Linked DNA regions of Arabidopsis thaliana. The protein of the gene in region 2 interacts with the protein of the main gene of each other region in a pairwise test. Each region holds a gene or a part of one and is shown on either strand. Other genes may lie near its edges.

Region 1 (6,225 bases), about 12 Mb from region 2:
ATTTCAGATCAATTAAAATAGAATGAAATTTTGATAATTAATTAAGTATGTGTATAAAGAAAGAAATAAATATATTGCATCGTTTTCCAAATTATAGTGATTGACGAATAAAATATGATTTTCCTTATTTTAGAAGGTTAATCGTGGTATTTAATTAAAACACCTGGTTTATTTATGATATAACGTAGACATGTCAGTTCAAATATTTAATTAGTTGATTACAAAGATAAGTACATGTCAACCTAAAATTTAATATCATCATTTCAACCCAAAAAAAACCTGAGATTATATATAACGGATCATTCAATGCAAGATGCTTAATGCCACCGTCACGTAACGAAATAATTGATTTGCTTCCTTTTTGGTTAATAAATATTAAATAGATCAAATGTGTACACTTTCTCATGACTTGTTAAATTGAGAAAGTGATATTCGTTATGATTAATGGACGCCTAATATTACCTTTAATGGGCTAAACTCAGGCCTACAAACTTGGCGGGTAAATTATAAACATTTCAACGGCGTCAAAATTTCGAAGTTAAGGCGAATTTCATTGTTAACCATGATGAGTCTTGAGGTCAAGAGCATTCCTTTTTTTCATTGGCAAGTTTTTTTTTTTCTTTTTGTAACCATTGAATAAAATTGACTAATTATATAATCTGAGAAAGAGTGGTTTACAGAAGAAAAATCTAAGGACCAATGTTTTATTTTGTTACTTCCACATTCTTCGGCATAATGTTGTCTATATTAACCAATCAAGACCATATTTTCCAATAACCAAAGAGATTCCTTTTTTTGTTGAAGAACAATAAAGACTAATGGGACCGATTAAGAAGTTTAAGAAGTATATAATCACCACGATATTCTTCTCTACGGTGAACTACGCTTATGGCAAATTCAAAGATTATGGAGCCAACAAGATAACCGAAACAATAACCGGGACTGACCCGCAATCAGACTAATCCAAGGCGATCTTGTTCTGGAGAGTTACAACTAAATAAAAGTCTTTCTTATATCATTGCAACGTAGTTCATATCAGAGCCTGGACTGAATAATACTTACATAAAAACTAGAGAATCACCTGGTGGAGGAAGATGTGGTGGTTAAAGATCTGTCTGAAGTGTTGTCTATGATGCTGCGCTGTAACTAATTGTGCCTATGTTCCGGTGTGCTGCTACTGCAACCGCTGCAGCTCCTGCTGGACCAAACTGTGATTGTGCCTGCAACAGCTTAGCATCAATGGCCATATGTGTGTTGTTGTTTAATTGATCTGTCTTCGGGAGCTGTGGTTGAAAGTAAGGGTTTGGGTGGTTCATAGTCTCAACGTCTGCTTGGTTAGTTGTAGCAGCTGGTGGCTCAGTGGGACTGAATTGGTGGACAGGATTTTGTGGCTTTGGTGGAAAAGACGAAGCTTCTATGTTGCGGTTCTCCGGGTTTGTCATGGTGTTTGGTCGGAAGTAGCAATGAGGAGATGAAACCGCGCTTCTGAAATAAGCTTCTTTGAGGTTCCTGCCATTCTCATAAGATACAGATGATTCCACAACACGACCTGGTCTACCTGTAAAACATAGGGTGAAAGTTAGTTGAAGTTTCTAACTTTAGGAAATAATATTTGGAGATATGATTGAGACCTGATGGTGGAACTCTTGGTGGAGGTCCGATGGATTTAGTAGGATACGCGGAAGTTGATGGATGTCCTGCAGAAGAAGCTCCATTTTTTGAAGGCTCGAAAGAAACACGTCTACTATCTGTTGCACCCAAGTTGGGTTGCGAGGTGGAATGGACTACAGTTGAGTGAACCGTAGACCTGTGGAAAACAATCATATCTATTAGAATTAGAAGAGTAGAGAACATATGAAAGTTTTTAGAATTAGAAGAGTAGAGAACATATGAAAGTTTGCTTGAGGCCTTCGACCATATGCTTCACAAATGCTAAGCAGTAGCAGAAGAAAGAACAAAAGAATAAGCATATTCCCTACAGTCGACTTGTATATAAAGAATGAGAAAACATACCGCGGTAGTGATGCGTGTTTCCTCTCGAGAGGTATGACCGGCCCATTTCTACTGCTATTTTCCTCTAAGTAAGTGAACTGCTGTCTAAGATGTCCAATGGCGCTGCAAGTGAAAAAGTAAAAACATGAATAAAAAGCCAGGCAGAGGTACGCGATTGGACATAAATTCAACGGGAGAAAGAAACAAGAAATGTTTCATTTGGTAAATAATAATAAAAGGTAGGAAGAAATTCAAACCTAGGATATACAAAATTAGACCCCTCAGATCCGCTCATATAGTCCTTGAGCAACTGAGGATGGTACTCCAGTATTTCTCTGTATATTAGTTCTCTAATGTCGTCCTTTGTCAACCTTCGCCTCTCAAATTCAAACTCCATTTTCGAGATTTGCTGACTTGAAGGTTCTCTTTCAATCTTAGAAAGACCCTTGAAGTAAGGATCAGCTAATGCCTATCGAAAAACAAAAAGATAGCAAAGTAAGCAGAGAGATACACACAAGACGCAAGGCAGCTTTACAAAGAGGACCGAAGAAGAATCTAATTACAAAGTGAAAAAGACAGAAAAGAGACCTCTGCAGGAGTCGGTCGATCCTTTGGATCGAAAGCCAACAGCCTCTGCAAAAGACGGAGTGCTAATGGATCTGCTTTGGAAAATTTTTGCGAGAAGGTGACAGGATTTTTCTTCCTCATTTCAGTCAAGTATTTTCTAGCTTTATCATTACGAACCTGCATCAGAGAAATAAATGTTTAGCTATACAGTTCAATATATATACGTACTCCAGAAATTAATGTGAAGAAGAAAAACGGATCATACTCCAGAAATTGTTTCTGATTTTGGTGTGCCAAGAAGATCAGTAATCAACTCCAACTGATGGACAACACTTTTTCCCGGAAACAATGGCTTCCCTGTTAGTACCTCTGCAAAGATGCAGCCAATGCTCCAAACGTCGATAGCTGGAGTGTACTGCAGAATAATTTTGACTGTAAATCAGATTATGATGAAAAAACAAAATCCATGAATATGAAGTTGCAGATGCAAAAGAAACCACTCAATGAACATAACCTGATACAAGGTTACCTGATTCATAGATTTTCAACTTCGGGGAGAGTTCAAGTCATCCCTGAACAAGAATTATTTTAATATCCCACTGGGGCACAACTCTATACTTATACAAGTAACATCAAATATCAGCTATTAACACTAATCTGCATATATTCTACACTAAAGAAGACTAATCTGTTCATAAGACCTAAGCATAGCCAATTAGAATGCATAGAAGAAATCCACAGTAACACCTACCTTCGAAAAGAATGATCCACAGAGCTCAGGTGCTCTATACCATCTTGTGGCAACATAGTCCTGCATTGCGATTAAATGAGTCAGAGAGAAAAATCAAACACACAAATTAACGGCTAACAAACAAAAGGTCTCCTCCTCGAGGCTACTAACCGTCCAAAAGACTGTCGTAGGAGTATCATTAAACGCTACTCTAGCCAATCCAAAGTCACAAACTTTCAACTTGCAATTTGCGTTTGCAAGTATATTCTTTGGCTTAAGATCACGGTGATAAACATTAGCTGCATGAACAAAAGGATAACAGTAAGTTACAACCAGAAAAAATACAAAACATGCTGCCAAGATTCACAGGTCTGAAACAATGAAACGAATCACACCTGTATGCATGAACTTTAAAGCACGAAGCATCTGATAAAGGAAAAACTGGTGGTGTTCACGAGTCAAATCATCATTAGCTTTAATAACTTGATGAAGATCTGATTCCATGAGCTCAAACACAACATAGATATCTTTAAACTCTCTCTTAGAAGGAGGCAGCATAATGCTTTTGATCTCCACAATATCAGGATGCCGTAAAAGCCGAAGAAGCTTCACTTCACGGAGAATACGAAGCGCATCAGAAATATGTTCAAAGACATCATTAATCTTCTTAATAGCAACTTTCTCTCCAGTATGTGTATCAATAGCTGCACACACAACTCCATAGCTTCCTTTACCAATAACTTCCAGAATCCTATATCTGTTTGCATCACCATACTCTGTGAAAAACTCCATCTCTTTCGTGCCCTAGTGAATCACAAAAGTAGACAAAACACAAACTTTATCCACACATCTTATTTATGCTCATGCAACAAAACCAAACCTAATTGCAATTGAAAAAGGAAAGATTTTATTTTTTTTGTCTTTAAATTTGTAAAAGGATAAGACTTTATCCTCTGTTTCCCACATTTAGAATCAAAGCATGATTGAGAGAGATAGAGAGCAAGAAGCGAACCTTCTTCACTTGATTTTGTTGCATCTTCTTCTTCAAAATTATCAAAAATCTGGATCGGCTTTTCGAAAAGTAAAAAAAAAAAAAAAACCTAGATTGCTAAGAATCCGAAAACTAGAAGAACTCAAAATCAAGCCCAGTCTGTGAAGAAGACGATACAGAGAAGAGCAAAACCTAGATCCAGCGATCGAAGAAGAAGAAGACGAGAGAGGATTTTAAAAATACCGAATTTGAGATATTTTTTCTAAATTTGAATAAAAATAATTTCTAATTCTAGCAATTTCTCGTGGTACTTATTGCGTACGGGTGTGACAAATCCCAGATAGTGGCAGTTTCGTAGTTTTAGACAACATTTGAGGGTAAAGTAAATATTGGTTTTCTCCCACTGTGGTCTGTGGACGACCTTTTTGGAAAATGACCCAATGGTTTAGACACCTGTTGCTGGACTTGGACCGTTTTATTTTTCTTAAATTCCGATTTTGACCCCTATCTTAATTTTGTTTTGATTCTAACCATTCTTTTTGATAAGTGGTCAATTTAACCCCCACGTGATAGTATTTCTCGTACCACTGAAAGGAATATTATTAACATTATCTCAATTTTGCTTATTATATTCCTTGATTTAAATTTTTAAGATTGAAAAATCTATATACAATTGACTAATTCATATGTAAATAAATATTGTTGAAGGATATTTGTCTTAGATTTTAATTTATTTTGGTAAAGACGATACACGATTAATATATTAGGATAAAATACCATCTTTGATGAACATTTATTCCATGTAAATCAACTAACCTTGAGAAAAAGACCTTCCAAGTGTCAAGTTGTTTGCTTGATACTATGGGATGATAAAAACAAAATCAAAAGAAAAAAAAAAACTGCCATCCTCATTGGTATATGACTTAGTATTTGATAGAAAATAAAATAAAATAAATAGATTAATAATTTTGCAATTCGTGTGAAACTAATATTCACATGTCAATTTACACAATTTGGCTTTTGTATTTATTGAAAAGACCAACATATTTAGTGTCTGGCTCATATTAAAAGTTTATCACAATAGGGGCAAATCCACAAAAAGGTGAAGATTATGATAATATTATAACTGATCTTGATTAAAACAAATCCAACATCTTATTATTCATTTGTATCTGAGGCATTCAAATCCAAAGTTGGTTCATTATCTAAAGTACAAAATATCATAATTTCAAATTATCATACTCCATATAATTTCACACTATACGACGATGTAGGTGGTGCATGTGTCAATTTATTGTCAATATTTTAAGGCGTTATAACTTATAACTAAAGTTGATCCTTTTTGCATATTTCATTGCTTTTCATTTTCTTCTACTTTCGGTTTTAAAATCATAATTTTACTCTCTTTTGACTAAGTGCGCATTTTAAAATAATTATCGGCCAAAGATAAATATAAATGATGGTTGACTGGTTCTATCTATTTAGACCAGGCTCTGCATAATATATATAACCAGCATATCTATTTTTAAAATAGTTTTAATGGTTTTTCAAAATGATATATATAATATTTTGAATTGCAAGTTTAATAATTCGAAGATATATATATATATATATATAATCATGAGTCAGAATTCAACAGAGTGGACACAATATTACCATTCATCACATGAATCATGCTTTTCGTGTATGTATGTTTTAGAGTTTTGACTGGAGGAGCCAAAATATCTCCACCAAGCAGATTTATTTTGTTTGTTTATTTATTTGAGTTACATCTTATTAAAATTCCATGAACCATATATAATGATAGAAGAAAAAAGGGATCACCCATAAATAATGATAATTTGTGCACAACTATATATTATTGTTTTCTTAACTTTTGGTTGCCAACAACTCTATATTATTAGTGCAAATATAATAATGTTGATGAATAAAAGACAATGCATCC
Region 2 (8,043 bases):
ACCCAATCCTCATGCGCATCACAAGAGATTTCTGCAATAAACATTAAACCCTTAGTGTTATGTTAAGTCACTGAATCCACAGGCTCAGCCTATCTTTATTTGAGCATAGATTATGTTGTGGATCATCAAGTGCTATTCATCAATGCTGAGCACGGAATGTTGAAGACATAAAGTTAGATAGAAAGACGAACAGAGAATGTGCCATACCTTCCCCTGCTGGCTGTTAGTGACTCTTAGATTCTGCGTGATGGCACCACTACCGCTTGCCAGGAGTGTGTTACTGCTAGCTGGATCCAAGTGCAGCTGGAGGAACTGGAAGTTACACAAAAGAAAGAGAAGGTTAAAGAAAAAATTGAAATCTATTTACTGCTTTATCAATTGGGAAAGATGAATAAAGGGGAAAAAAGCAAAAAAAGAAGATAGATGTAATTACCTTTGGAACAGCAGCCTGGAATATAAAATCTGTGAAAGTATTGGGAGATAAATTAGTAAAAGTAGCCTGGACATTTGTCGTTTGCAGATTCCCTGGTGTCTTTGAGAAGGTGAACTCAATCTTCAAGGAGCTGCTCTCGTATGCAACAATAGGTGCATAAGCTGGACCATTGGTGGCTGCAATAAGGAGGAAAACTTGTTATTGACCTTTGTAAAAGAGTTTCAATGATTATACAGATCTTTTTCAGGTTAAGACTTTTTCCTACCTTCCTTCGATGGGCTTGGAGAAAGACCATCTAGCAAATCAAACATACCGGTGGACGAAGTTGTTGCTACGTGAGGTGGAGCTGGTGAAGAAAGTGTGTCTAGCGCAATTGAGGGATTATTGTTAACGTCAGCTATTGATAATAAACCAATAGATGATGTGCTGTTTTGTGCAGGAGAAGGTGTTCCAATTGATAGAATATCCAGCAACAGATCTGTGCCAGCTTTTGGAGCCTGGGTTGCACCTGAATCATTGGATAAAAAATGGAAGACCAAACATGAGTTATCCTTTTGCAAGGCAATGAGGAAAATGATTTTTTTAAAAACTTGTTCATTCAGAGACACATAGCAGATGAGCACGCCATAATATGAACGCAAGAGCTGTAGAACCGCCAAAGAACTAACCATATTGTGCTGACGATGAACCTAAGTCTACACCGAGAAGATCCTGAAGGAAATCTGTACCAGATGGACTAGGTGCAGCCATGATATCGTCAGAATCTAGGTCTAGCAAGTCCACAAGAGGAGCGACAGGAAGTTTCTCAACACCATTTTGAAGGCTAACTGAAGGCTTGGCCATGGTTGAAACTGATGCAGGAAAAGAGCCGGCCCTCCTCACATTGAAAGTAGCCTCATCCAGTACCGGCATTCTGTCAACCAGAGAAGACCTGTATGCACACATACCTCTATCATGAGCTTTGAGGGAGAGAGAATATGAAAAACTTACACTAGAAGATAGATGAGGAAGAGAGGCACAAGGGATTCCACCTGATATTTTTATGCCTGTCAACTATAGAATTGTATTCAATAGCTCTCTGCTGCATTTCAAGGAGAAGGCTTCCTTTCTGCTTCACAATTATGTCTTTAATTCTCCTGTCATTGAATTTTAGAAAACTTTTTAATTATCAATAGAGAGTTGAGGACAGGATGTACATGTATAATATATTTCTAATCTTTTTTCAGAAGGCAACGCGCTACAGTTTCTTGTAGACAGACCAAAATTTATTATTCATATACTAGTGCGCATATGCATCTTGTGTAGAGTTGAAAAGGGATAAGTGCAGATATCAGATGAACGAGTTGAGATAAAAACAGATAGCACAACGAGGTCAGACATACTCTGAAATAGAAGGAAAGCGGGATGACAACTTCAGTAGAGCAACCAATGCCATTGCTTTTGTAGTCGAATCTGAGTTATGGCGAGTAATGGCATCCTCGATAACGTCCACTGCATCAGATTCCGTTACCTGCTCAAGGCAGTCACATACTCGTTGCATATTTTTCAAAGCAAAAATGAAATCCCAAGAAGCAAAAGCATCTGCATATTTATCATGGAGCAAATAATGAATTAAGATTGCCATTGTGATGCTCACCGTTATTGGATCTTCAATACCAAGCATCCCCACATTGTTAACCAACAGATCACCATATTCCCCAATGCACCATACCGCCACTCGGACAAGGGTCTCCTGGTTATCATCTCAACGAAACCATATTAGAAAGGGTTACAACTGATTGAGGACTGAGCACAATCTAACATTAGAAAATAGCTACCTGTTCCGAATAAGTCAAGACTGATTTGTACAAGGCCCTAACTGTATATCCATGAAGCTCTGATGCATTGCTTATGACAACAATAAGTGCATGCCACACATCATCTTTCACAAACTTTCCAGCCTACTAACATGGAATAGATGACAATAGGTTATGACAGATACAAACAATGCATTTGAAATTAGCTTAAGCAGATATAAACTCTCAAACGATTTCAAAGAGTGCAATTAACTGGTAACACGTTACAGAGCATATTCTCGCGTTTGAATCCATACCTCACACAGAACCTTGAGCATCTGATCAATGTACCATAGTTTTTCTGGAGAAAACCTACATTATCAAAAAATTTAAAAAGTCAACAAAAACTTCAATCAACTAGACATTCACAGTAACTTTCCAATCATCCTGACCCCCAACTTTCTCAGAGTAAGTAGTCATTCTATTTCTTAAATAGAATACTTACTTTTCAACGATAAAACAAATTTTTGCACTAAGATCTTCCTTAAAATCTTCGTCGCTGATTTCCAAATAATCAATTAGCTCCTTTGTCAGTTGTGTGACATTGTTTTCATTCACCAAAAGAGTGACAAGCTCAAGAGCTCTTTTCCGGATAGAAGCATCTGGGTCCTATATTGTTATGGAAGCAGAAACCAAATTAGCATTTTTTATTTCTCTAAGATATACTTAGCAGTTAACATTGTATAAAATATTTTCCTGGTAATACTAATACCTTCACACATTCCAAAATTGTAACTCTGTGCCTTTGCACTGCTTGATCATCGAAAGTGATAGCTTTCATCAGCATGTTTAATGCAACATATCTGAGAGAACGAAAGTATGAATTTCATAAGGGAATGCAGCGTTTTTGAGAGAAACGAAATCAAGATTAGAAAAGGCAACGCTGGTTGGTCAGAAGAGCATTGTGTGCTTCATAGAGTTAAGCACATCCAAAGAAAGATGATAGACAGAAGAAAAATACAAGTAAGCTAGTTCCATTACAAACATATATAATACCATACTATTATCAAATAAAATTGAGGTGTAGGGGGTTGAACCTGATGTTATTGTCGCGGTTAGATAAGAATCTTCCCAAGATATTGATAGCAAGCACACGCAAGCTATTGGTGTCTTCAATGGCCATGATTGTTTCAACACACTCATAGAGTACCGCATTCCCTGCGTTTTTGTTTGATTCAGTTTTTGTTGCCACCTACAATAGCATGAAACCAACGAGAATAAATATCAAAGAACCAGGATAACAAAGTATCCGACAGTAGATCCCTGACTTTGAACTCAAAAGATTTCCAAAACAAAGCATGTAACAGACGCAGGATGCATTCATCATGGTGAGATAGAAAAGGATTGGCGCAGCCTACAGATTTATATGTCCGTCCACAAATCAACACTTACTATGACAACAAAGACCGGTATCAAAAGAGGGAGAATTCAAGTACGGCAAAAACTCAGTAACCAATAAGTCTTCTATCTACCAAAGAGAATAATAGCCCATGAACCCTATCAACGAAATGAAATTCTTTCTCCATTATGCTATATTTAACAGAATCAGTTCCAGCACATGAGAGAGCATAGCTATCTTACAACATTTTTCCGAAAAAATATATGTAAGGTAACTGGAACAAAAACCATAAACCGTTGATGTTTAACAAAGGAATTACATCGCAAATGTGAAGATGGTCAACCATATCCAGAATCACTTGCTAAACTATGACTAACCTGTGCAAGTATATCTGTCATCAAATCACTAGCATCAGCATCACCCTGGCCTAAAACACGCAAGAGCCTGAGCAACCGTATGTGGAGAAAAGGGTCTGTGATCCCTGCAACATCATACTCAGGCTGATATGCGCTATTAGTAATATCCCTCAAAGTTTTTATCAGTCCCTCTGTGCATTTCTGCAGAGACAAAACAAAGACAAGGGTTTGTCAAAACTGACGGTCTGATAAAACAATATAACAACCTGATTGTCTGCCTCATTTCAGCAGAGTAATCTATTTATAAGTGAATACCACAGATATCAAACTTTATTGCAAGAGAAAAATAGTACACAAAAGCATCATACAGGTAATATAGTATCATATGTACGCATATTCAATTAAATTACGTCGATGCTCCTGTATGCATAAGTAGAGTGTTCTGTATAATATTTATAGACTTACCGTTCTGAAGTACTCTAGGGCTTCATCATTAATCGTGCATAATTCATAACAAAGTTGAACTCCTGTTATAAGAACCCCATGATGCTTTTCTTTAAGCAAGGAAGCAGCAGCATTTACGAAGTTTTCTGCTAGATCTGGAACTTTCCTTATTATTCTAGTAGAGCAAAGCGCCGCCTGCATATAATACAACATAAATGGTAAAGGCAATGAAGGAAAAAAAAAAAGCGACTAAACTCCAGGAGACCCTGTATATGAATTAGAAAACACTTCACCTTCTTTCGGATATTAGGGTCACGAAACTGGATTAATCTTTCTACTTCTGGCGCAAGATCACGGGCCATTTCTGCTGAACAAATATTCCCTAAAGCACAGAGAGCAAGTCCTACAACATACTGGTTCGAGTGATTAAGATCTCTGCACGTGACTTAAGGTTAAACAGGAACAAATCTATTTAAATATTTTTCTCCTTAATTCCCATAACAGCAATGCAATCAAAAATCAAGTGTTCTCTAGTATTTTTTAACATAGAAGAAGAATCCATTCAAAGGCCAAGGTATCAAGATTTAATACTAGAAATTAGTAAGGATACTGTTTTAACGAATTTGTGACAAGCATCAACACTTCTTGTCTCTCATCAAGAAGCAACATTAGCCCTAGATATCCAATCCTCTTCTCTGGAAATCCAGGAGATGCAATTAGCTTCAAGCACTCCATCTGCCCAAAGTGTGTGGGATAACCCAGCATGTGTATAAACATGAGTTTCGCAAGGTTCCGGTGCCGATCATGCGGGTCATCTTCATTAATCAATGCTCGAATATCGGCACACTCCTTTCTTACAACAGCTCGCTCCTCCGCAGCTGTTTTGCATGCTCTTATGGCACGGATCATGTCCCTGAATCATACTCATATGTCCACTATAACTTCAGAACCATATACAATAATCCGATCTGATTCCACTATTAAACCCCAACAGCAACATGACCAATCCAATATTCAATTAAATTAAGCAAAAGGATTACCAAAAATCCTTAGTGTGATCATGTTCTTAGACTAAAATCAAAATTCTAAATGGAATCAGAAACACCAATACCAAATTCATCTTCGAAACAGGCCAATCAACAAAATTCAATCCTCAAATGAAAACGAGCTCAATTACATCATGTTATATTCAAATTTCATTTGTAAGCTGATCAACGACTAAGAAACCTGAAACAGAAACGATAAAAAGGAAAGAAGAGAATCAATTTACCTTAAACGAGTACCAGAAGAAAAGGGATTCATGATTTGGGGTGTTCAAGAGTTGGACCTTGGTCCACCGGCAACTTTACGAGGAATCTGAAGAAAATGAAAACTTAGCCGGGAAGAAGAGTTTCGCCGCCGGGATTGTGAAAATCCGTTACCGGAGTTTCGAGTAGCTGATCAATACGAGAGAGAGAGATGAAAATGAAACTGAGGATTTGGATCTCGATGGACGATGCTCGTTTTTTTCTTCTCAGTCTTCGTAAACCATAATTGCCAAATTAAATGCGTTGTATAAACATGACTTCCATTTCCACCTAAACGGTAACGTTTCGACCAGCAATCCTCTCAAAACAAAAACATAGACTGGGCCGTTTCTTTATAGTTAAACACATAAATGGGCCCTACTTGGGCCGTTTTTATTAGTCAAATTTGAGAGGGTCGATGATACGCGCTCTTTCATTGGTTGTTACACAAATTCTCCCCTACACTTGAACACATCATAGTATCGCTCAGGCCCTAGTATCTTTTTAAAACCTTTAAAGATGCTAAGCAGCAAAAATAAGTAACACAACACAAGTTACACAGAACAGTCGCTTTCTCCTCTCGATTTTGACATGGCTTGGGGATTTTCGTCCGTGTCTCTCTTCTTGTTCGTCGTTTTCAATCTGGGTATATTTTCAAAAATCTGTTAATTCAGTTGAATTTCCCAACCCAAAATTCGAATTTTTAATTTTCCTCATGATTTTGTTACAGTGAGTGGTAAGATAGTTTTAGAAGAAGGGTACGAAGTCACAACGGTGGTCGATGGCCATAAGTCTGGTCTGAATCCATACACGATTCATGCTTTACCAGGATCTTCTAATCTGATCGTCCTTGATTCTTCCGGCAGTACATTTTACACTACTTCCTTTCCTTTGTCCGTTGGTAAACACCCACAAAACCACTCTTTTGTCTCATCTATTAATCGGATCATTATAATTGTGTTTGTATATGAGTTGTAAATTCATGGATGCATAAGTAAATGTTTAGAGCTTGTTGATTTTGATTGCAAGTCTTGACCTTCATTTTTTCTTTCTCCGTAATCTCAAATTGGACCACAATACTAATATGTGTGTGTATGTGTGTGAAACGATCAACCTGCAAATAAAAGTTCTAAACTTTACTATAAGTGAAAATTTTGTTTATCTTTCTTTCAATTGAAGTTTGAGCTCACTTTGAGTATGTGTGTGTGGTTGTGCAGATAGTGTGATAAACCGGTTTGCTGGGGATGGGAGTTCGGGTCATGTAGATGGTAAAGCTGGTAACAGCCGGTTCAGCAAACCCCGTGGTTTTGCTGTGGATGCTAAAGGGAATGTTTATGTTGCTGATAAGAGTAATAAAGCTATACGGAAGATCAGCTCTTCAGGTGTTTGTTTAATCCATTTCTTGTATTCCTTTTGTATAAATGCTAGTTGTTGTTGTTGTCTAATCTTAGTTTGTTGAAAGAGCCACTTAGTTTATTTTGATTATGCATGTTTTATTTACTGGACTTTGTAGGTTCTGTAACCACCATTGCTGGAGGGATCTCAAAGGCATTTGGACACAGAGATGGACCTGCACAGAATGCTACTTTCTCTAGCGATTTCGAGATAACTTTTGTTCCTCAAAGATGTTGTTTGCTTGTTTCTGATCATGGAAATGAAATGATTCGCCAGATAAATCTTAAGGAGGAGGATTGCCTCGAAAACTCTCATTCTAGTATGTCTTTTCTATAAGTAATCTTTTGTGGATTTGACTAACCATGCCTTTGGAAACTTCAACGATTCTTCTTTCACTGTTTCAGATTTGGGGACATACTCTCTTTGGTCAATAGGGATTGTCCTTTCCTGCATTCTCGGGGTAGCCATTGGATTTGCTGTTCGCCCTTACGTCATCCGTCATGTAAGTTTTTTTTAATCTATCCTCATATTACATACTAGTGTATAATCAACATATCAAATCTCTTAAACCAAATCGTTATAGACAGGAAGAAGTGAACCACCTCTCGTTCATCATGACATGGAAGCTTCTCCTAACCAAATTGGGGGAACAAGTTCTGACCTTCTTCTCCTACATTAGAAACCGAGTTGCTGAATCAACCGTTTATTCAGTATTAAGTAGACTAGTTATGATGATCGTGTCTCACCTTTCCCTCATGTATTCCGCCCTAAGTAGTTTAATTTGTTCGATGGTATCTAGCCTTTTCTTCATGTGTCAACCCAATAATGTAGCTATTTTAGACAAAACAGTCTCTGTGTCTGATCCCGAGAGTCCAGGTTGCGGCAACCCAAAGCCGCCCCTTTCACTGAAACCCTCTGATGATCTTATTGACCTAATAAGCTTTGATGATGAACA

Evidence for each region. The genes of interacting proteins can lie anywhere in the genome.
Region 1: the proteins of GAMMA-ADAPTIN 1 (region 2) and MPK18 interact in a two-hybrid assay, tested with the Arabidopsis thaliana proteins (one large-scale study listed by BioGRID).

Annotation. Positions count from the first base shown.
Region 1 is NC_003070.9:19,969,834-19,976,058, forward strand, and holds MPK18 (mitogen-activated protein kinase 18), read right to left. Parts: upstream 4,561-6,225; 5' UTR 4,326-4,560; coding exon 4,302-4,325; intron 4,094-4,301; coding exon 3,685-4,093; intron 3,589-3,684; coding exon 3,461-3,588; intron 3,371-3,460; coding exon 3,311-3,370; intron 2,975-3,310; coding exon 2,825-2,974; intron 2,737-2,824; coding exon 2,581-2,736; intron 2,462-2,580; coding exon 2,250-2,461; intron 2,116-2,249; coding exon 2,014-2,115; intron 1,808-2,013; coding exon 1,632-1,807; intron 1,559-1,631; coding exon 1,128-1,558; 3' UTR 501-1,127; downstream 1-500. UniProt on the Arabidopsis thaliana protein: Mitogen-activated protein kinase (MAPK) that is specifically regulated by PHS1 and MAPKKK20 and mediates signaling that regulates cortical microtubule functions, maybe through regulation of microtubule dynamic instability.
Region 2 is NC_003070.9:8,439,045-8,447,087, reverse strand, and holds the start of GAMMA-ADAPTIN 1 (gamma-adaptin 1), read right to left. Parts: upstream 6,010-8,043; 5' UTR 5,710-6,009; coding exon 5,678-5,709; intron 5,635-5,677; exon of another isoform or gene 5,321-5,634; coding exon 5,018-5,320; intron 4,843-5,017; coding exon 4,701-4,842; intron 4,603-4,700; coding exon 4,429-4,602; intron 4,165-4,428; coding exon 3,985-4,164; intron 3,461-3,984; coding exon 3,306-3,460; intron 3,072-3,305; coding exon 2,981-3,071; intron 2,878-2,980; coding exon 2,714-2,877; intron 2,581-2,713; coding exon 2,526-2,580; intron 2,374-2,525; coding exon 2,251-2,373; intron 2,166-2,250; coding exon 2,070-2,165; intron 1,944-2,069; coding exon 1,816-1,943; intron 1,570-1,815; coding exon 1,465-1,569; intron 1,365-1,464; coding exon 1,102-1,364; intron 942-1,101; coding exon 699-941; intron 610-698; coding exon 434-609; intron 313-433; coding exon 208-312; intron 32-207; coding exon 1-31. Other genes in the region: AT1G23890 (NHL domain-containing protein), read left to right, coding at 6,285-6,339, 6,424-6,594, 6,911-7,075, 7,207-7,407, 7,493-7,590, 7,676-8,043. UniProt on the Arabidopsis thaliana protein: Subunit of clathrin-associated adaptor protein complex 1 that plays a role in protein sorting at the trans-Golgi network and early endosomes (TGN/EE).